Linked DNA regions of Arabidopsis thaliana. The protein of the gene in region 2 interacts with the protein of the main gene of each other region in a pairwise test. Each region holds a gene or a part of one and is shown on either strand. Other genes may lie near its edges.

Region 1 (6,586 bases), on a different chromosome or scaffold from region 2:
TGATAGGTTTAAAAATCTTTGTTTGATTGAAGCTGGCCAACTTTTCTACATCATGCATTATTGACATGTTTTGGGCGTGCTTGCTCAATGCTGCTCTACACTATTAATTACATATTAGACATAGGAGTAGTATGAGAGGAACCTCTACCCACTTATGTTTTCTTCTCCTAGACAAACAGTTTCGTGTTGTATTTTGTATTGAGAAATATTTACAGAGAGTTTTCCCTTTCATACACATGTTCTTGCCAAGCGTTTTGCAGACACTATAGTTTATTGTCCTGTCCTAGAGGCCCGGAAGGTTCCAGTGCCTAATGAGTTACACAGCTAGGTTTGGCCTTGTTTTGTTTCTCTTAGTCTGTACAGGAGGGTGTGGTGCATTATAACACAATTTGAATTGGTACAGAGCAGAAGTTAAGAGTTTCCGTGTGAGCCAGCTGCTGATTGTCCCACTCATTGTCTTTAGTACTTTCCCCGTTGATAGTAAAAAATTAGAACCTCCGTTTTTACAGTTCAATACCTTCTTTGCATTACAAGTGCGAGAGTTAGTAATTGGTGTCAGTCAGAGAGACTTAAATGGCGTTATTTTTGGTCTGTGTATATATAATCTTAGGCACGTACCCTACTGCATTGATGTGTTTATCTTCCTTTCCTTATCCGGAATTGGCCCACTTCAGACAACACACTATTTGTGCTACTGTGACACATGAGTCTTTCAATATCATCTTTAGACCTCAGTAATTAAGTAAATGAGTTTCCCTTTAGGGTAATTAGTTAGGTTGCTTATGCTCTCATGATGAATTACTTGATCTCAATTGGATATGTGCAGATTGACTTGGTATTTCGAAGTATTCATTCATAGTGGAGATATGGAGTTTAGTATTAATTCATGTTTAGAGTTTCCATGGCATATTCAGACTAATCGTGCTTTGAATTGAAATAAACTTTCGATATATTGATACTGACGAGTTGGATGGGGGGGGCTTTGGGAAATGTCAGGTTATATTGGATGAGGCTATAACCAAACTTAAACCGGATTTCTTCTGGTTGGGTGGTGGAGAAATCGATCTGAAGCTCGGTGTCAGAACATCCGAATTCCTTGAATTTGTGAAACCATTCATTGTTCCTTGCAGTTGAAATCAGGAATATGTATAACACTATTTTTATCACCCTGTTATGAAATGTTAGGCTTAGCTTTAAGATTTTAGCTTCAATGAAGGTTTTTATCTCTTATACACATTGGTATTCTTTGTAATGATACTTTTGTTACGTGCTACTTGGAGCTAAAATGGCGGCAAAGAGATCTATTTGAGTCTACATGTCGATTATTCTAGATTGGTTATTGTTGATTTAGCTTCAGGCTCGGTTTAGTTTCTGTATTTAAGATCTCTTGTACATTCAAAGCTTAATGAAGAATTTTCACAATTCTGTTTCTCAAATGTTGAAAATCTTTTATGCAATACCCATAAGAAACAGAGTAATTAATAGGAAGCACCTTGTTTGTTGTATACGAGGAGAAATAGAGAACAAAGAAGTTGGTCATGAATATATATAGAGATAGCACAAGAGTCATTACAACCACCAACATGGTGAATGCATATGCATATAACAGTATGATATATTTAGAGAGACTGGTATATATGGATCGGGTAATTAAGACTTCTCGTTGTGGATCGGAGGCTTACGATGAGGCTGAGGATAATCCATGACTACTACTTCTTCCCCTGTCTCGACTCCACCCAACGCCCGCCTCCTTTCTCCACCATTGAAGACGTCCAAAGAAGCAACCTTGTGATGATGATGCTTATGTGACCTTAAACGACGAGCGGCAGAGGCACATCCAACATTGGAAGACAAAAGCAGAAGAATGAAACAGAACACTATCACGAGTCCACTCCTCAAAGAGCAAGACATGACTTCTCTTATTCTTCTTCTTGTTCTTGAGATACTTGTGTATATATGCTGTGTCTGTATACAGGGAGATGAGACTAGAGCAGGACAAAGAAAGTTTGAAATGTTGTTAATTGGTGTAAGAGAAGAGAAGAGGGAAGGAGAGTATTTGTAGGCAGAAGAGAGTAAAGAGAGTAAGACAAGCATTAAATACAGGTGGGGGGAGGGGTCCTTCATTATCATAACATGCTCTTGTTCCTCTTCTCTTTTATTTCTTTTTAATCTTCTCTCTTGTCTATTATTCAAATATATTTTACATTCAACATACATATCTATCGTATGTATATGGGTGTCTTGATCGGCCAAACCTTTTGTCTACTTGAGAGTCTTCGTGGGGTCATCATCTCCTGCATTCTCATTTTCCTTTCTTCCATTTGCTCACCTTATTCTCCGGTTCTTCACCTTTTTCATCCACGCCATTATTGTATGACCGACGTGTTTACTCTCTTAAGTCCTAATCGATCACCTTCTTATCACTACACTATTTGACATTGATTTCTTTGGACAAAACACTCACAAGTTATGAAAAGCTTTTACATTCAACTTTCACTTCAATGGTCCAAAATCCCAAAAACACAACCGCGTCTCTCATGTTCCACGTGACCGGTTGGAACCTTGAATTACAATCTTTGACGATCATAAATCGAGCTAAAACTGTGAACAAATAAATATATGAAACAAAAATCAATATTGAAAAGTGTAAGATGAGAAACAAGCCAGCATGGTCCGACCGTCTCCTCCTTCTCTCCGTCAACGACAATGTGGGACCTTTATAAGATCGTCGCCGGCCAACCTTCAACCGGTACCGACCATGTCTGCCACGTGGCACAGTTCCCTTGTGCTTGCACTTCTATTGAGTTTGGTGATATAACTTCTCTTCACTTAGGCTTTGCAATTTGGAACTGTCATGGCCCATGTGCCATAAGCGACGTGTTATGTCGGCTTATAGATTGAAGACATCAAAAAAAACACAACAAAGTCAAGAGGGAGATGTGATAGATTCACCTAAAGTAGGTTTTTAGATCCTTGAAAGAAGATTATATACATTATTTTATGTTTTCTGTACATATTAACGCCCGACCAAAGGTCCTTAGAGAATAAGTACATAGGTGGCTTGCTTGCTTAGTAATTAATAAGAAGATGAAATATTTGGTGAAAATAGAGAGGAGTAAAATGAAATATCCAGCAAGAGGTCTCTATTATGGAGATCCAAATCCAAATGTGTTTTCTCCGCTGTAAGTGACATAGAGGAACCCATCATCATCCTTTTTCTCTTCGTACACAGAAGACATGAGCGCACCTGCAAAGTTACCAGATCAGATCAGCCAAATATAAAGAATTTATAATCACCGGGGAACATATAAGTAGACGCCTTCTTATGCTCTTGTTACTTGTGTTAAAAGATAATGAAACTCCTGAGTCTTGAATACAGAGGAGATCTATCTGTTTACCTGCTGGAGGAAGAACATTGTCCACGAATATGAAGATAGCCTTTTCTGCACTCAATTTGATTCTTTTGCGAATGACATACACAAACTGCCCCACAGTCAGATCAGCCGGGACTAGGTACCTGCAAATTTGAAAAAAGCTTAGTTATCAATCACTATTATTAACAAGTCAGGTCCGAATGAAAAGGATACTGATGCCATTTATATGCTTACTTTTTCTTGTCGATGGTTGGTATATCACTCTTCTCAGCCTTCTCAACAATCACCTGGATCCCACAAAAATATAAATGCGTGGAAATCATCATCTCAAGTGTCATTTTTACCATGTGAATCATAAAGCACGTAGCCACATGAATCATGCAAATCTACTTATCTAAGCCGTAAGTACTCAGTAAGAATCGAGTTTCAGAAAGTCACGTTCCAAAAAATGACAACTAAATTCAAAGTCCTAATGTTGTTATAGTCACTATAACTCAATCAACTCCATGTAGTTGAAACAGTGGCAAACATATATCACAAGCATGAAGCTAATCAAACAATAATAACTTGATAACCATCCTTTAGTCGGGTAGGGTGTCCATTTAAAACCAGATGCTATCCCAATAAGTTCATTATATCCCAATAAGTTCATTACTACCATATTGCTGGGCCATAAACCACAACAACTTAACCTGCATAAACTCAGTCAAACACAAAAGATTGATCCGAACATAGAAAGGGAAACAATATGCTAATCACATATAACTTTAGAAATGTATGATCGATCAATGTATAAGAGAGACACTGAAAGTCTCACCGGAATCCTATCAGGATACTTCTCTCTAATCCTAGCAGCCTCTGCCCTTCTCTTCTCTGAAGATTTAGGAAACAGGATCATTAGATCAAAGCACAAGGTTTTGATTTCGAGGACCAAACAGTAAAGCAAGAACAAAGCTCAAATCCAAACCTAAGTCATGCTCTTGCTTGAACGAGCTTTTTGCCATTCCTTCCACGCCTACACACACATAACAAATAGGTGACACCAATCAGACAACCATCAAAACAAATTTAACACTCAAATCAAATCATCAATTCCCAAACTCTGGAACTCAGATTATCAAAATTCCCACAAATCTATCAGTCGATCATGTTAAAGACCCAACCTTTAAGTAATCTAAACGAAAGTACAGGATCGCAATCAAACCAAAAAAGAAGTTAAGAACTCAGTGATCAAACCTGTAGACTACAAAGAACGAAGCTTTTCTGCGATCAAACACTTCTCCAGAGCACAACGCTATCGTTGAAGATAACAACAACAATTAACGAAAAAATATGAAAGAAAAAGCAAATAAGCAACCTACAAAAATTCTGCAAAACATTAAAAAATTATGCGATAAGGTCAGAGATTCTCTACAGATGGTGTATGGTAACATCTAAACACTTCAGCTGACGTTGTATGCTTAATCTGTTCAGTGAGAATCTGACGGTAGATATTAGCTATTTACTGAAATAGGAATCTCAACCGTCCATTTTACTGAAGGTGTACGAGGTAACTGTCTACGTAGATATTGCCTCCAACAAAGGATAAAGAAGAACCGGATATGCTGGGATCACGTTTCTGCATACGATATGACACGTTTACCCCTAGAAAATGTGTGTTAGGTGAAGAGTTCGGAAGGGTAATAGTTGGAAATTGAGAATGTCGCTTATAAGCTTTGCCTCTTCTAACAAAATGTAGGGCCTAGTGCAGTAATGGGCCTTGCAAATAAACGGATGGAAATATGAAAACTAATAAATAAAGTATAGGCAGAAGTTTTTTTATGACTGTTATAGAGATCTGGAGATGTAGGTCTTGGTGTATGGACAGCTTAGGATTTCAAGCTTAGGCATTTCGAAATCAAGGGTTGAAAGCAATTACTGTATTTGAGAATATATCTTCAACACTGCACAAAACTCATTTTGTAATTTATTAAAATACCGGAATTGAGTGATTAATGTCAAAACCGAGAATTTACAGGATAACAAAGATAATTAATCAAAATGAATCTTTTATCAAAGTAAGATAAGTTTTCTAACAAGTTTTTTACTTATAGATATAAAATATTATAGTTGTGAAAAGACATAAACATTTTTAAAAGTTAAGATTGAGTTTTCTGAAGTTGAAAAAAAAATCAAAATTATTTTTTAATCATTATCCAAAATCATTACTTAATCCAAACCGATGCCCACCCTAATTATTTAACTATATTAATAAGGTTTGTAAGCAATAGTATATAAAAAGCTAAAAAAAATATAAGGGTATCTCACTACGTATGACACTTATCAAGTTTGTTAGAGCATATGGGGCACATATGTGGGAGTATGCACTTTTTCATGTTTATTTCACTGCACTTTTTCATGTTTATTTCACTGTTTCAAAACAATCAATACAATTATATCCTTACTCTCGTAACCTCAGGTCAAATAGCATGGTTAAGAAATGCCTTTGACGAATGATTTAGCTGTGCAGCAATATATAGTACTTTGAACTGCTCTAATGGGAGTGGATTGTGGATTTTCCTTTCTTCTGTTTCTTAATCTTGACATTAGATTTCCACTCCACCCCATCTTCGTCTAGTACCTTATAAGTCGTTCCAGCAATGTAGAAGGTGACTTTCTTCTCTTCAAGGTACCTCACAAAACGTTTAGCAAACTCAATGGGTGTTGAATGGCTTTTGTACTTTGATAAAAGACTCACAGCAATCTCCTAGTTAGGCTTGAAAATCAAAGTCTTGACAACTCGTTATGCCTCATCAATCACTTTTCCTCTAGCCAAGCCGTCTAAATATGTCCCCATTATTTCAATAGTTGGTTCTATCCATAGAGTCTTGACTATCCTTGCAAGAAGATAATGCCCATACTCAGTTTGTCGAGCATGTGTACAAGTTACCATCACGTTCCAAAATGTTGAGTGAGTTTTGATCAAGGTGGAAGGAATGTTCTCAAAGACTTGGATTGCTTTGAAGCATTCACTATTTGTGCCTAAGGTTGATATAAATGCATTCCACATACCTATACATGTAGCTCCAGATTTACCGCATTCATGAAAGAGTTTTTCTGTTAAGAAGAGTTTCAAACTCCAACTCTTAAGATTGGAGAGATATATTAGTCACATGGTAACTTTGTTAAGGAAAACAAAAACTCAAATATTTTTAAAATTTGTTAATCAAATA
Region 2 (7,201 bases):
CAAATGTATCTTCCGATGTGTATGCTCTCTGTGATTGGAGGTACTGTGAGGTTCAACGAGAAGCAAAGATCAATGTTCTTGAAGCATTACCTTCCTTGGGCTGTTCGTGCTGGAAGACAATGCACTGACCTCATGTGTGTGTACTATGAGCGTCACTTTAGTGAAGACTTGGAGCAAGTTCGTAGAAAATGGGGAATCATCCCTGCTCCTCAACATCCTAAATGACGGTTCTAGTTTAATCTGTTTTCGAATCACTTAGTTATGCCAAATCTCTTATAAATGTGTAGTGGATTGGATTAAAAGTTGTACTCGCATTTGATGGTTAATAAGAGACAAGTTGGGAAGTTTTTGATTCAAACATTTTTTCAGCAAAATATTACAGATAAGAGTTGAGACAAGAAACCGACTTCTTATCATTTAAAGGCTCACATCAAACAGTTTCATAGTGAGATAACGCAGCAAAGACAATGGATAGATAAAGGTCTTTGCAATTATTTTACTTGCCACCAGTGAAGAGATAATCCAAGGATGATCCTCCTCCCGGAGCTGCGTGAACTTTGGTCGAAGGACGGTCCTGCAGAGATAGACAGAGAAAGGGAGAGAGTGAGTGAGTATCATTACCATTTCGATTCACGGGTATTCGAGTAAAACGGACACGAAAACGTACAGTGAGGAAGTTGCCGGTGTTCTGTCCTTCAGCTCTGGCATAGTTGTTAACAGGAGTTTTGATACCAGCAGGAATCTGCTTGTTAAGCTCTGCAGGCTCAACAGAAGTAGTAGCAGTCGTGAGTGCGGTTGCAGTCACAGCTGTTACTGGTGGTGCAGGTCCGTTGTTAGACTCAGTAGGAGCGGGACGAGGAGCTGGAACTGGCTTAGGAGCAGGAGCGTCACCACCAAAGAGATAATCCAATGAGCTTTGACCTCCACCACAGCTGTTTCCACGACCCATTGTATAAAATAAAACCTAGCACAACAAACCAAAACACCGAAATATAATAAGAAACTATAACTTGCCAACATTCAGAGATGATAGATTCAGAGCTGAACAAAGTGAAGACTCAATTCAATTGTGAATGCTGCTTAAAATTCACAATCAGAATAGTAGCAACGTCAATTATACAAAACCACATATGCTAACGCAAAATCTTCACCTCAAAGTTCACATTTCTCGAAGAACGTCGGGAGAATTAGACGACGAAACCTAGTTTTTAGCCAATTTTCAAAATAGTGGAACAAGAGTGAAGACTGAATCAGATCTAAAACCATTGAAATCGAATCACCATTTCTAAATTCCTGAATCTACAAAATCCGTAGAAACCAAATCTCCAAAAATTGAGGATAAAAACACCATAATTCGAAGCATGATCGAGGAATCAAAACATAGGAATCTACGATCTAACTTCGTCTAAGACATCAGAGAAACGAAATCAAAGCGATCTGGAGGAATTTTAGGGGTTAAGAAACAAACCTTTTGGTGATTCGCGATCAGATCTAGAAGAAGAAACTCAAGGAGAAGAAGTAAAACGCAGACTCGGAGCTGACTAACTGAGTCATCAGCGAGCCACTCTATTTATAAGCTCAGACCGGTTTTTGTTAGTGTCAGGGTTCCGGTTTAATTGAAATCAAAACGATTTCAAATTTTTTGATTAATAAGACAAAATAAAATTCACATCTTTCAGCTAAATTCCAAAACCGGTTTATGAAGAAATATCAGATAATTATTGTTGATTTGGATTAGAACACGTAAAAAGTAATTAATTAGTAAGAGATAACCAGTGAAATTATTGGTGCTTAAAGAAATTTCACGACGGTGGTGAGGTTCGTGGGCCATTCATGTGTAATGGCCAATCTTTGTCATTGTTCGAATCTAATAATCATTAGCCGTTTTATTATTTAAAAATTTGAACTTTGAAACAAAAGATATTTTGGTATTTATGAATAAAACAAAATTAGCAACTTTTTTTAACTTTGAGCTGTTTCAAGTCTCATGTAGCAGAAGCTACTAGTAATTCATGTTTAGTGTGGTTGAAGTAATAGTTTCCAGTAGCAAGCAACAATAAGCTCAAAACACCTAATTGCCATGAGAATCCGAAGACGGTGGAAGTCGCCTTCTTTTTGTTAATCGGAATCGGTTTCGAATCAGATCTTTTCGCCGCCTTCCTGAATGATGAATAAGTTTCGACTTCTTCGATTGTTAACGCTGGTTTAAGCGAGCTTTTTGCGGTTTGGAAATGGCGATTGAAGACAGCGGTTGCTGCGATGTTTTCTCTAAGTGAGACAGTTCCGCTTTCTCTGCATAGACCCTCGAGCTCGGCACCTGTGAAGAGATCGGTTTCTTCAGCGATTTTTCTGAGATCAACGTCGTCTCCTAGTGTCATGTTGCGTGTATGCACTTGCAGTATTTCAAACCGGGCTTCTAGATCAGGCGGTGGCACGTATAGCACCTAAATCAAGAAGAGGGTAGCAATGAGGTTTGCTATTTCAGAACTCGTGTGATCAAAAGATCCAATATGAGGACTTACGAGATCAAATCGACCAGGTCGCATTAGAGCAGCATCAATTGCATACGGGCGGTTTGTGGCAGCCAAGACGAGGATTCCCTTAAACCAAAACCCGATCAATATCATTGCAACCCAATAACAAAGATAAAATCTTTAAAAGCCTATGAGCTTTTGTTTACCTTTGCTTCTTCAAGACCGTCCATTTCGGTTAACAGTGTAGATAGAAGCCTTTCTCCAACTGTAGAACTATTGCTTGAGCTCTCATCACCTCTACGAAGACCCAAGGAAATAAACATGTTAAGAAGAGTCTATAACACGAAGCAAGAGTTGGGAGAGATAGAGACAAACCTTTTACAGGCAACGACATCAGCTTCATCAAAGAATATTATACTTGGAGAAGCAAGTCGAGCTCTTTGAAATGTATTCCGCAATAATGCTTCACCTTCTCCAACATACATAGAAAATAGCTCCGCACAGCTGCATCGCACACCCACACAAAGACACAAGAAAAAATAAGTTTCTTTAAACAAGTTTCACAACCAAAGGGGGATTTTGTTAAATGTGATCTATCAAAATCTATACCTTAAGGAAAAGAAGGAGGCTTGAGCAGCATTTGCAGCGGCTTTAGCAAGAGTTGTCTTTGAGCAACCTGGAGGACCATGTAGAAGTATCCCACGCATTGGCGATATGCCCATTTTTACAAATGCAGCTGAATGTTTGATTGGCCATTCAACAGCTTGCTGGAGCTTTTTCTGTCACAAGGAAAAAAAAACCATTAATCGCAATGGAGAAAACAGGACAACAAAGTGCAAAATGAATATTTTTAAAAAGTATTGACCTTTAAGTCTTTAAGACCACCAACATCGTCCCATGTCACTTTAGGGATTTCAACTGTGATGCCTCTGTTTATACTTGGACCAACCACAGATTTTGCAATCTTGAAGTCTTGAGATGTTAGAATAAGAGAATCTGAAGATCTTTTACTTGCAGATATTGTCGCTTCACGACATAAAGCTTCCAAATCTGCTCCAACATAACCGTTGCAAGATATTGCAATGGCTTGAAGATCGACACTAGGATCTAAATTGACTTTCTTTGTGTACAGCTGAAAAAAATAGAAAACATGAAGATCACAAACAAACTTACTATATACGAAAATCCCATTTAAGAACTCGATAATTACCTGCAGGATTTTTAAACGATCCTCCTCATTTGGTGTGCTCACTTCAACTAAAGCATCAAATCGTCCCGCTCTTCTTAGCGCTGGGTCAATCGCATCCACCCTTTTGACAAGATCGGGGAAAACCATTGGATCATTGCATTCAAAACCAATGTTGATAATCAACTTATATTATGCTTAAGGTAGACAAGAACCTATTTGTGGATGCTACAACAACAACTCTTGGTGCAGATGATGAAGGCTTGTTTGAGTCCATAAGTGTAAACAGTTGAGAAGCAATACGAACATCTTGTTCTCGTCTGCATTTTAAAGAGAACAAGATTATTCTCAATCTCTTAAAGATCTCTCTGAAGATAGCAACTATAAACTAGGGGTGAAGCAATACCTAGCATCACGACGAGGACAAAGAACATCGATTTCATCAATAAAAATCACAGAAGGCTTGTCTGAAACAGCGTGAGAAGAAGCCTCAGCGAAAGCTTCCCTTAAGACTTTCTCGCTTTCTCCAGCATGTGCTCGATGTACAGAATGAGGGCTAAACAGAGTATTTGACAAACAAAGACAAATCATAAATTAGCTTTAGCCTCTATTACTCCAAAGCATAAACTATACAGAAGCTACATAACAAAGTACCTTAAAACAATCAAATGTGCATCACATTCCTGGACAACAGCACGGACCAAGCTTGTCTACAAAAACCAAAATTTCAATACAAGAGCGGTCGAATTAGCTTCTGCAAGATCAAAGTTTTTTGAAAAATCCAACAAACAGAAACAGAGTTTTTACCTTGCCGGTTCCAGGAGGACCGTAGAGAAGCAATCCTCTAGGCCACTGCAATGATAAGTCAAATTAAGCAAATTAAGCGAAAGAGAGAAGCTATGAGTCCAACAGAGGTGTGGATATATGTACTTTGAGACCAAGAGTTCGAGCTTCGAGAGGGTAACGAAAAGGGAAGATAATGAGTTCTCGAAGCGCTTGCAGAGCTCTCTCGTTGCCACCAATTTCAGCTTCCGCTCGCCATTTCTCATTGCCGGCGATGTTGTCGCAGACACTGCTTTCGGTTTCCAACATGAAGAACCAAACTTTGGGGAACAACAAGTTATTGGCTTTACAGGGGTTTATGCGCCGGAGCACAGAGATCACCACCGGAGGAGAAAATTGATTTTAGACAATAATGTTAGGGCTTTTGTTTTTCTTGTGATTTTTCCAATTTTACCCTTGAAATTGAGCAAAATACCGAACCAAGTGGTTTAAGTCTTAACATGTCCTCTTATTAGTCCATTTGTGTTCAGTGTTCAAACCAGTTTTGAGATCATTGAAAGAATGTCTCTTTGTATAGGATACAATGTATAACAATGATTGATCTAACATGAATCAGAGGGAATTAGTGTGACGGTGCTAGGAATCTCACGCTCCCGGCAGAAGCCTGGTTTGCGGCACGGTTACTTCCAAAATTCTTCCGGTTTGATTCACGAGCGATTCTTGATCCAAACTAAAACCACAACCAAAGTCCAAAGCAACAGTGAGAGAGAGAGAGCTCACAACAAAAAGATTTCAACTTTACTCGTTTGAAACTGAGTTCTCTCAGAAAGTTCTCTTCTTCTTACCTGAATTGCTCTCTTAGGCATCTTTGCAACTTCATGTACACCAAGCAGGCTTGCAACCTTCAAGATTTTACGCAACAATTCAGGTTTATGAAGTTTCTGGAATGTTCTTGAGGCATTCTTACAGTAAAAATGGTATCTTTTTAATTACTCACCTGTCTAAGAATCTTCTTGTCTCCCGTTCCACTTGGTTGCTCAAGATCAGCGATTTCCCACAAGGGAATGTCAAGGAGAGTCTTTATCACATCTTCATCTAAGAACGGGAATCGCCCCTGAACAAGTAACGTTTAAGATTTAAGAACAAAGCACAAAGAATAAACTTTTTTTTTGAGTTTGTGGTTGTGGCGTGATGACATATACCTCTTTACCGTTATCTGCAATGCATCGATCATCTCGACCCAAATTTCTTTTCCAAATTCTCTGCATATCTAATTTCATTTCTTGATCCAACGCAACCCAACTGGAAAAATGAATAAAACTTGTGCGATGAGGTTAACATTAGTTTACATCCATAAGAAATGTATACATAAATGAATCATATACCTTCCATTTCGATATTTAGTTCTGTGCCTACCGTAACCGGCACATTGCTCATCAGCACCAGCGCCAACAAGCAGGATTCTAGCATCGGACTTATACTTGACCCGCTGGTTATTTTCCTCTACACTTGGATTTCCATTATCTTCGTGAATCCAACCATCACCACGAGCAGCTAACCATAATGCTGTTCCTATGTTAAGGTCCTAGAACATAGCAAAAAAAGATTGAATAATTCACATCAAGTTCGGAGGAATGTAATCACAATGCTCAAGACTTTGAGGTTTACCATGTAAGTGTCTGCAGGATTTATGAGTGACATAACACGTTTTGTCTCAAAGCCTAGTTTTGACAGATCAGCATCAATCTCAACAAGTTTCCACCTGAAAATTCCAAAAACATTTGTATCAACATAGATAGTAACAGATATATGCATTTTTCATAAAAGGCTTTTGAAGTTCAACCTTCTAAAAGGTGCAATCTTTTTGAGTTCCTTTATTCCAGCCTTGGCGGAGATCCTATCAGGAGCATTAGGACCATCAAAACTGACATTAAGGAGATCAACTTCATCTGAAGAAATAGATATTACTTCTTTTGATTAGTTTCAGAATTGTTGGCCGAGACAGAAACAGTGTGGGGGAATGGTTACATTTTGGATCAAGGCACTGATGCAACAGCGCAGCAAGAATCATCGAATCCAATCCACCAGAGAAAAGAACAGCTACTGGGACAGCTTCTTTATCTCCCTGTTTATGCCAATACGAAGGTGTTCAGAAGAAAACACATAGCTTCAGAGAAAAAACAAGTTTAAGCTCATACCTGATAAATGCTATGAAGTGAAGTTCGCCGCCTCACTGATTCCTTTAACACGACCAAAACTGTCTGCGCAAATCCTAAAGCTAAACCTTGTCAGACATGTTGAGATTTGGACAGGACTGGAGGAATCAAACGATTCTTAAGCAGTACCTAGAGAAGTTGACACAGATTTGTCTTCCTGAACTCCACTAAGCGATGACGTTGATAGATCTTCAGGTCTAGGTACAACTAATTTCCTTTCCCATTCAATCAATTCTTTCCAGATGGTATTTCTCCATTCGTGTTTTGTAACTTCACCATGAATACATAATTCTGAAACCCCAAAAGAAATACTGTACACGCCACATGGAAGCTCTTCCCAATATCTATGAAGGCTATTACCATTTTCAGTATCCAATCCTGCAAAAGAACAGATGTTACTTGAGCTTGGAGTGTACATAAAGAGACAAAATTGCTCTACTAAGTAATACAAACCAGCACCTTGAGAAACTGAAGAAGCTGGTGAAACAGACGATAGAAGAAAACGAGGGTCTTCCACAGTTGGCGAGTGAACAAGAAGGCTC
Region 3 (6,447 bases), 7.0 Mb from region 2:
TTTCTAATGAAAAAATTGTTGCAATATAATGTGTGAGAAACTGAAAAATAGTGTAAATGAAAAATAACTTGTGTGAAACATGTTTTTACCTGAGGGTTGAACTGGAGTGTTATTACGCTTCCCATACGAACTTAAGTGCCGAGGCTTAGGGTTTTTCCTTCGTTTCTTTTTATCATCACTCAAATTAGAGTTACTTGCAGCTCCTGCGTGAAGTAAAATGACCCACCAATAGCTAATAGTAAAATGACCCACCAATAGCTTTTTTTTTTGACAAAAGACTTTTCCATTACCAAATTAAGCAAACAACAAATTGATCTTGAAAAGTAAAACACGATAATAAAAATTCACTAGTAAATTATGAGTAAAAGCATCACTATATATAAGCCGATCATCAAGAGTTGAAAAAGAAAAAAAAATCTCTAACAAGTCCAAGGCTTCATCTTAAAGCGAAAGCACTAAATTTCTAAAAACTGTCCCAAAAAGAAAATTACCGTCGAGAGAAGAGGCCATGAGAGAGAATTGTAGAGAGCTTAGTCAGAAATCAGAATATTCACAGCCTGAAGAGAGAAGAAGAAAGTGAGATTTACAAAAAAAAAAAAAAAAAAAAAGGGTTTTTGAGTAGAAATAAAACAGGGAAGGTAGTTTAGGAATAATATTATAAGGATTCTTCCATAAACTACAGAATCAAAACGTAACCTTATATGTTAAAATATAGTATCATTTAGGTAGATAATCATATTGAGAAAATTTCCTTGCAAAAATGATATGATGGCAGTCTGGCAGAATATAGTGTTGATTAAAAACTGTGTTAACAAAGTGGTATTTATTTAAAACACATGTCAAGTTTAAGAACATGGTTTAGCTTCAATTTGAGTTGAAGATCAAGGTTTGACAATTAGATGAGAATTGTGGTTATGGTAAATAAAGGGAAGCAAAGAAGATTAAGTGCTAGAAAACTCTGTTAAAAAAAATCTTTATCATTCCATTTTATTTTTAATTTAAATTTATTTATAAATTTATTAAATGGATATATCTCATTAATCAGTTTAAGTATTATATACAGTAGAACCTCAAAAAATTAATAAATTTTTCCAGTCACGAGTTAGGACTAATGTAAAAAGTGACACAAATCGATAAATCAATAAGATAATAATTTTTTTGAAAGTTCTATGTAAATATATGGTCCCATCAATATCATAAGTTAATAATTATATAAATGTATCAATTATATATATATATATATTATGTATAAAAATTCTTTAAAATAGATTTATAATAATTTTTTGCTTAAATTCATATTTGTTCTTTGTTTGACTATAATTTTCATATTTTACTGTATTAAAACTTTTGGTGTTATTATGTTTTATACATTATTATTATGTTTTATTTGTAACTTGTTTTAGAAAGATATTTTCTATAATGAAAGAAATCTTATAAAAATTTGTAAAAAATTACTAAATTTGGAAAAATCTCTCTATAAATTAATAAAATATTAATTTATCAATAAATTAATACCTCTTTAAATTAATAAAATTTTGTAGTCCCAACGTTATTAATTTATAGAGGTTTTACTGTATAATATAGCATACAAACGTTTATTTGAGTATATTATTATTTGAAATCCAATTTCTGAGTTAGGTATAATAATCTCTTAAATTATAAAATCATACTAATTATTTATGATAAGTTTATATAAATTTACTGTCTTTAAAATATAAAATATTGAAAGGATTCTATAGAAAAGATGTAAATTTTATCATAACAAAGACGTTTATTTTATTTAAAAAGTAAAATTTATTATATTTTTTTGTGAGTGTACAAGGCAGATTCTACTGCATAATCAATGGAGGTGACTGAGAGATGTATGTAAACTGTTTTTTTTTTGTACTAACAAAACTTGGACCTTCTTTGGTCATAAAGTTAGAGGCCCAATATAAAGTTAGGGACAAAATCCAAGTACCAAGATTCCAAGTTGTTGGTTTAGAGAGCAAACTCTTTTGAAATGTAGTTAAGAAATTGTTCATAAAAACATGGCATAAATCTTGATTCTTATGGCATTGTATTGTCAAACATCTACGAAACGAATATTGCATTTACATCTTTATCAACGGTAGCCAAAGCCGTAATATAAACTCTAATCCCTTTACTTAATCTTACACGTTTCAATGTTTCTATACGTTCCCTGAAGAACCAAAGCAACAAGTTAAAAGTAACATATGTAAAGCTTTTTAATCTCTGTTTGTTCTTGTGGGATTATGAATCCTAACCATTAGACGCGAAAGCTGATCTCTTTAGCAGCTTCTTGACAGTTTCGAACCGTGGTAAAATTCTCAAGACAAATACACTACGAAGGGTACTGCATCGGTTTAAACAGGGGAAAAAGCAATGCTCGTTAGCAATATTAACAAGCTCAAGACCAAAATCTATATATTTAGCAAAGTATTGATTCATTAAGAAAAAAAACTGAAGTGACTCACATAGTAGAAACACCATTAGCAATAAGGAAACAATAAACTTGATCGGGTGATTAAACGGTAAGCGTATCGGATTTTGAAAGCAACCGGTCTTGTCAAAGAGCTGAAAAAAACACTGAACAAGTAAGTTACTTCCTCCTACCATGACTAAAGCTTATATATCAACACACTCACCTGATTATGATCAGGAAGTCTCTGCATCCACAATACAGACTTAGTTCCTTTAACTTTAGGCGTCGCTTCTATTTGTGCCACCAATGTCTCCTTTTCTTCTTCATTATCACCACCAGGAACTATAATTCTCAAAGAATTGAAATTTGGTGAACTCCATATTCTTCTCAGCCCAACTGATTTCTCTGCTTGGCCAGGTGTCACTCTTTCTTCAATGTCTATGACACACTCAGAGCCATCACCATAAACTTTAGCTTTCTTGAATGTTACTTTAGCTGAAACTTCCATAACGTTTTCAACTAGAGAACTATTAGTAGACTCTCTCGACTTGATGCTGCTCTCACCACTAAAACTCTGTGAAGTTCGAGAAGATCCAGAGAGAAACATTGCTAAGTCATCACGCTCTTCTTCATTAAGATCAACCCAACGGAGAGGCTTTTTCCCATTTTCACTATAAGCTTCTTGCAGAGAAGTTTCTACGCGATGAATCTGGTTTTCAATAGCGGTAACAAACTGTTTATGCCGTGTGGATGAAGAATCATTATCCCCACACCGTTTATGACTCAATCTCACTGCCTTCTCAAACTCCTCCAACTGATTCAACACAGTTTCAAAACTTTTCAAGAACTAGACAAGAACAAGAACACAACTAAACCAGAAATGTTTCAAGAAACATTATTGTACCTGCCATTTAGCTGTACCTAAAGCTGCTTGAAGTTCCTTACAAATCTCATCTTTCTTCTCTCTAATCCACAATCTATAAGCAGACTCCATTCTAAAATCCAAGTAAAGAACAATAGCAAATTAAACACATCTCAATCTCTTAATTTATGCAAGATCAAAAGCTAAGCTCAAAGAAGAGATTACAAGATCAAAATCTAACAAGAAACCATACATATCTGTAGATTTTTGAACCTCTTCAGCTGCAGAGAAGAAAACATCTTTTTGCCATAGATCAAAGCTGTTCACTACCATCATCTTCTTCTTCTTCAGGAGCTATCCACAAAACAGAGTCAAAGAGAATCAAAAGAAGCTTTTACGAGCAAGAGAATCGAAATTTTTCTCGAACTCTTTGTTTCAGCTTTTTTTTTGTGTTCTGTTCCCACTTTCTATAAATCTTATTTATTTTCTTGTCAGTGTCACACCAACTTGTGTCTATTATAGAAACGTGGCTGATTATTACTCGGAGACATAGGATATTAGTATGCTCTTTGGTGCATGAGATTATAGCTCTGTGTTAAGAAGCTGGAAAACGACAAGAATGTAACCTGGAAGATGGGGTCCGCCAATTTGCTGCCACCAGCAGCCACATCAACTTTTTCATTCTTTTTTATTATTTGTTATGTTTCCCATTTGAGATTACTTTTATAATATGCTCAAAATACTGATAATTCTCTATGCCCACAAAAAATATGAGAAAATATAGTATTAGTCAAATGTTAATGAATCTGATTACTCATTTTGCATTCAGAAAGTAATGACAAATGATGGAGACACCACTATTAGGGTACCATGCGTGATGCATTTGCAAAAAAAAGAGTATTCGGTTAATTTGTCTAGGGTTAGTCGCACACGTACGTACGTACGTAAGTACATAAATTTATAAATTCTAATGAGATTATATAAAGAGGTGTCTAATGAGATTACGTGGATATGAAGCAATTATATAAGCAAGAAAAAAAGAGGTGTCTAATGAGATTAAACAGAGGAAGTATGTAACTAAAATGTAACTAAAATGTAACTAAAATTGAACTAAAGTCTTTTAACTCACACAATTTAACTTTGTCAAGAAGATACATTTCATAATACAGTATAAGCTGAATCCAAGATCAGGTTCTCATCTCATTCTACCTTAGCTAAACCGGTGGGTTAGTTATGGATTCTTGAACTAGTTTGATACCTGCAGAACATGAATCAAGAATGGATGAGACAATCTTTCTCTGCCGCTCTTTGAACTCCATCGCTAGTTTAACATCCCAATCCGCGTTTTCTCTGTAAAAGTGTAAAACCAGACGGATTACTAAGTAATTGGTCACTCTGTTTCAGCTTTTGTATATCATGACAAGACAACTACTGATACCTGTCGATAGAATCTGCATCGCCAAGATTTTGCATCATGTCGTCGAATGTGGATTGGAGATTCTCAAGTACTCCTATCTCAACTTCCAAGTTCTTCCATAACTTAAAAGAATCAAGAAATGAGAAAAATATCTTAAGTGTTAGATTCATAGAGATATAGATGTAGTTATACGAAGGTGATGAAGAATATATACATCTGTTTCAGAATGATGAACAAGACCATGAGCTTTGCGCAAGTAGTTCAACAATGGAGTAGGCAAGCCGTAGTGGAAGATGTTGTGATTACTCGATAGCCAAGTCCCGCGTAACATGTGAGTTGTCCAAGAAAACTCGGTCTCGATGTCTTCATCATCAATGACATCAAAATCTGCAAGGAAGAGATACAACTTAAAGCAAAAAAAGCATGTAAGCCTGAGTGATCTCAGAATGAGGTAAGGTTAAACTACCTAAGGGAATGACATCATACGGGTTATCCCCTTTTGGTAGAAATCCGTAAAATGTTAACAGATGCGAACTAGAGTAGTTTCCGTAGCTAAGAAAACATTGTTCCCCTTTGTTGCAAGGCCTTGAGACTGGGAACTTCAAGGAACTCGTCTCAATGTCTACTTTTCCATATTTCACTATGTGTGGGTATATCTGCAAAACCCGCCAAATTATCATATTCCGGATAGTGATAGGAATTACTTAGTATACCAGAGGCAGAACGAGAGAAGACACATACAGAATGGTTGAGAAAACCGGCGACAGGAATCAAGCAAGTCTTCAGCTTTCCATCTGGGAATTTGATTTGCATGCTATTTGAGTAATACAACTCACAAGCCCATAAGTAATGTTCCCATGTATAGAGCTCCGGTGGAAATACTTCCCGGTGGTTCGATAAAAGAGGAATCAATTCATCATACCTCTCACGCAAAAGCTGCAGATATACAAACAATTGCCAATGGAATCAAGAACATAATACAAATCACAGAACCAAAAGATAAGAGATGGGATCAAGTCACACCTCTTTAGCTTGCATTATTTCATCTAAAAGCAATGTACCATCAAGCTCCATGATTGCATCAACCCCAAAACTCAAACCTGCAATGAGAGAATCAATGTTTGTTGTCTCTTTGAAACAAACACTGCTACAAGAATTGAATATTTAGTTCTCCAAACAATTTTACCGGTACAAAAATTCTCTTGCAGAGAGTCAAAGTATGGTTTGAATTTCGAGTCCAGGTTATGCTTTTCCCTCATGGTCCATAAGAGCAGCATTGTCTCAGATGTAATGCCATCAAACGTCTCCAATATTGGGTACTGAAGACAAGAGAACACTCATCATATAGCATTGCTATGATGAAACTGACGCAATCTTTAAATCAGGATGAACTCAAATGATATACCATGTCGGAGTTGTACACATACTCCTCCGAAATGATACTTGAGACTGGAATCTCTAAAGCAACATCGCCAAATTTCAAGTCTTCGCTAGCTATAGCTCCTCGTCCATAGCCATCAATTTCTATCCAAATTTATAAAACACATTGTCATAAACTTAAATCTCTGTTGATAACTTCATAACAGAAAAAAACCGTTAAGCTTACGAGCTATCTGCAATTTGGTTTTGACTCCATTGTCCTGACCCCATTCTACTAATTTGCTTTCCTTTTCGCATCTATAGCTATCAACAACTCTAGCTTTCTCCTTTTCAGCTCCAACAACCTCATTGATTCTACCTTTT

Evidence for each region.
Region 1: the proteins of CDC48B (region 2) and ATG8F interact in a two-hybrid assay, tested with the Arabidopsis thaliana proteins (one large-scale study listed by BioGRID).
Region 3: the proteins of CDC48B (region 2) and AT2G18860 interact in a two-hybrid assay, tested with the Arabidopsis thaliana proteins (one large-scale study listed by BioGRID).

The regions. Positions count from the first base shown.
Region 1 is NC_003075.7:9,303,736-9,310,321, forward strand, and holds ATG8F (Ubiquitin-like superfamily protein), read right to left. Parts: upstream 4,804-6,586; 5' UTR 4,611-4,803; exon of another isoform or gene 4,390-4,610; 5' UTR 4,379-4,389; coding exon 4,342-4,378; intron 4,248-4,341; coding exon 4,192-4,247; exon of another isoform or gene 3,755-4,191; coding exon of another isoform or gene 3,662-3,754; coding exon 3,609-3,661; intron 3,518-3,608; coding exon 3,399-3,517; intron 3,248-3,398; coding exon 3,147-3,247; 3' UTR 2,604-3,146; downstream 1-2,603. Other genes in the region: AT4G16510 (YbaK/aminoacyl-tRNA synthetase-associated domain-containing protein), read left to right, coding at 997-1,134; RGF6 (root meristem growth factor), read right to left, coding at 1,651-2,094. UniProt on the Arabidopsis thaliana protein: Ubiquitin-like modifier involved in autophagosomes formation. May mediate the delivery of the autophagosomes to the vacuole via the microtubule cytoskeleton.
Region 2 is NC_003071.7:1,115,146-1,122,346, reverse strand, and holds CDC48B (cell division cycle 48B), read right to left. Parts: upstream 4,863-7,201; 5' UTR 4,753-4,862; coding exon 4,591-4,752; intron 4,513-4,590; coding exon 4,468-4,512; intron 4,371-4,467; coding exon 4,315-4,370; intron 4,217-4,314; coding exon 4,067-4,216; intron 3,981-4,066; coding exon 3,876-3,980; intron 3,785-3,875; coding exon 3,685-3,784; intron 3,607-3,684; coding exon 3,340-3,606; intron 3,254-3,339; coding exon 3,084-3,253; intron 2,979-3,083; coding exon 2,850-2,978; intron 2,772-2,849; coding exon 2,681-2,771; coding exon of another isoform or gene 2,663-2,680; exon of another isoform or gene 2,601-2,662; coding exon 2,523-2,600; intron 2,445-2,522; coding exon 1,986-2,444; 3' UTR 1,889-1,985; downstream 1-1,888. Other genes in the region: AT2G03690 (coenzyme Q biosynthesis Coq4 family protein / ubiquinone biosynthesis Coq4 family protein), read left to right, coding at 1-225; SPR1 (spiral1), read right to left, coding at 497-574, 668-949; AT2G03667 (Asparagine synthase family protein), read right to left, coding at 5,066-5,173, 5,289-5,345, 5,441-5,557, 5,646-5,745, 5,829-6,028, 6,112-6,205, 6,287-6,392, 6,472-6,568 and 3 more. UniProt on the Arabidopsis thaliana protein: Probably functions in cell division and growth processes. Interacts with certain SNAREs as part of specialized membrane fusion events where vesicles from the same organelle fuse (homotypic fusion).
Region 3 is NC_003071.7:8,161,534-8,167,980, reverse strand, and holds AT2G18860 (Syntaxin/t-SNARE family protein), read right to left. Parts: upstream 4,040-6,447; 5' UTR 3,624-4,039; coding exon 3,541-3,623; intron 3,421-3,540; coding exon 3,330-3,420; intron 3,240-3,329; coding exon 2,649-3,239; coding exon of another isoform or gene 2,622-2,648; exon of another isoform or gene 2,578-2,621; coding exon 2,478-2,577; intron 2,357-2,477; coding exon 2,331-2,356; 3' UTR 1,975-2,330; downstream 1-1,974. Other genes in the region: VEL3 (vernalization5/VIN3-like protein), read right to left, coding at 1-3, 90-278, 492-510; AT2G18850 (SET domain-containing protein), read right to left, coding at 4,502-4,637, 4,726-4,826, 4,919-5,091, 5,171-5,360, 5,446-5,640, 5,728-5,804, 5,891-6,023, 6,110-6,228 and 1 more.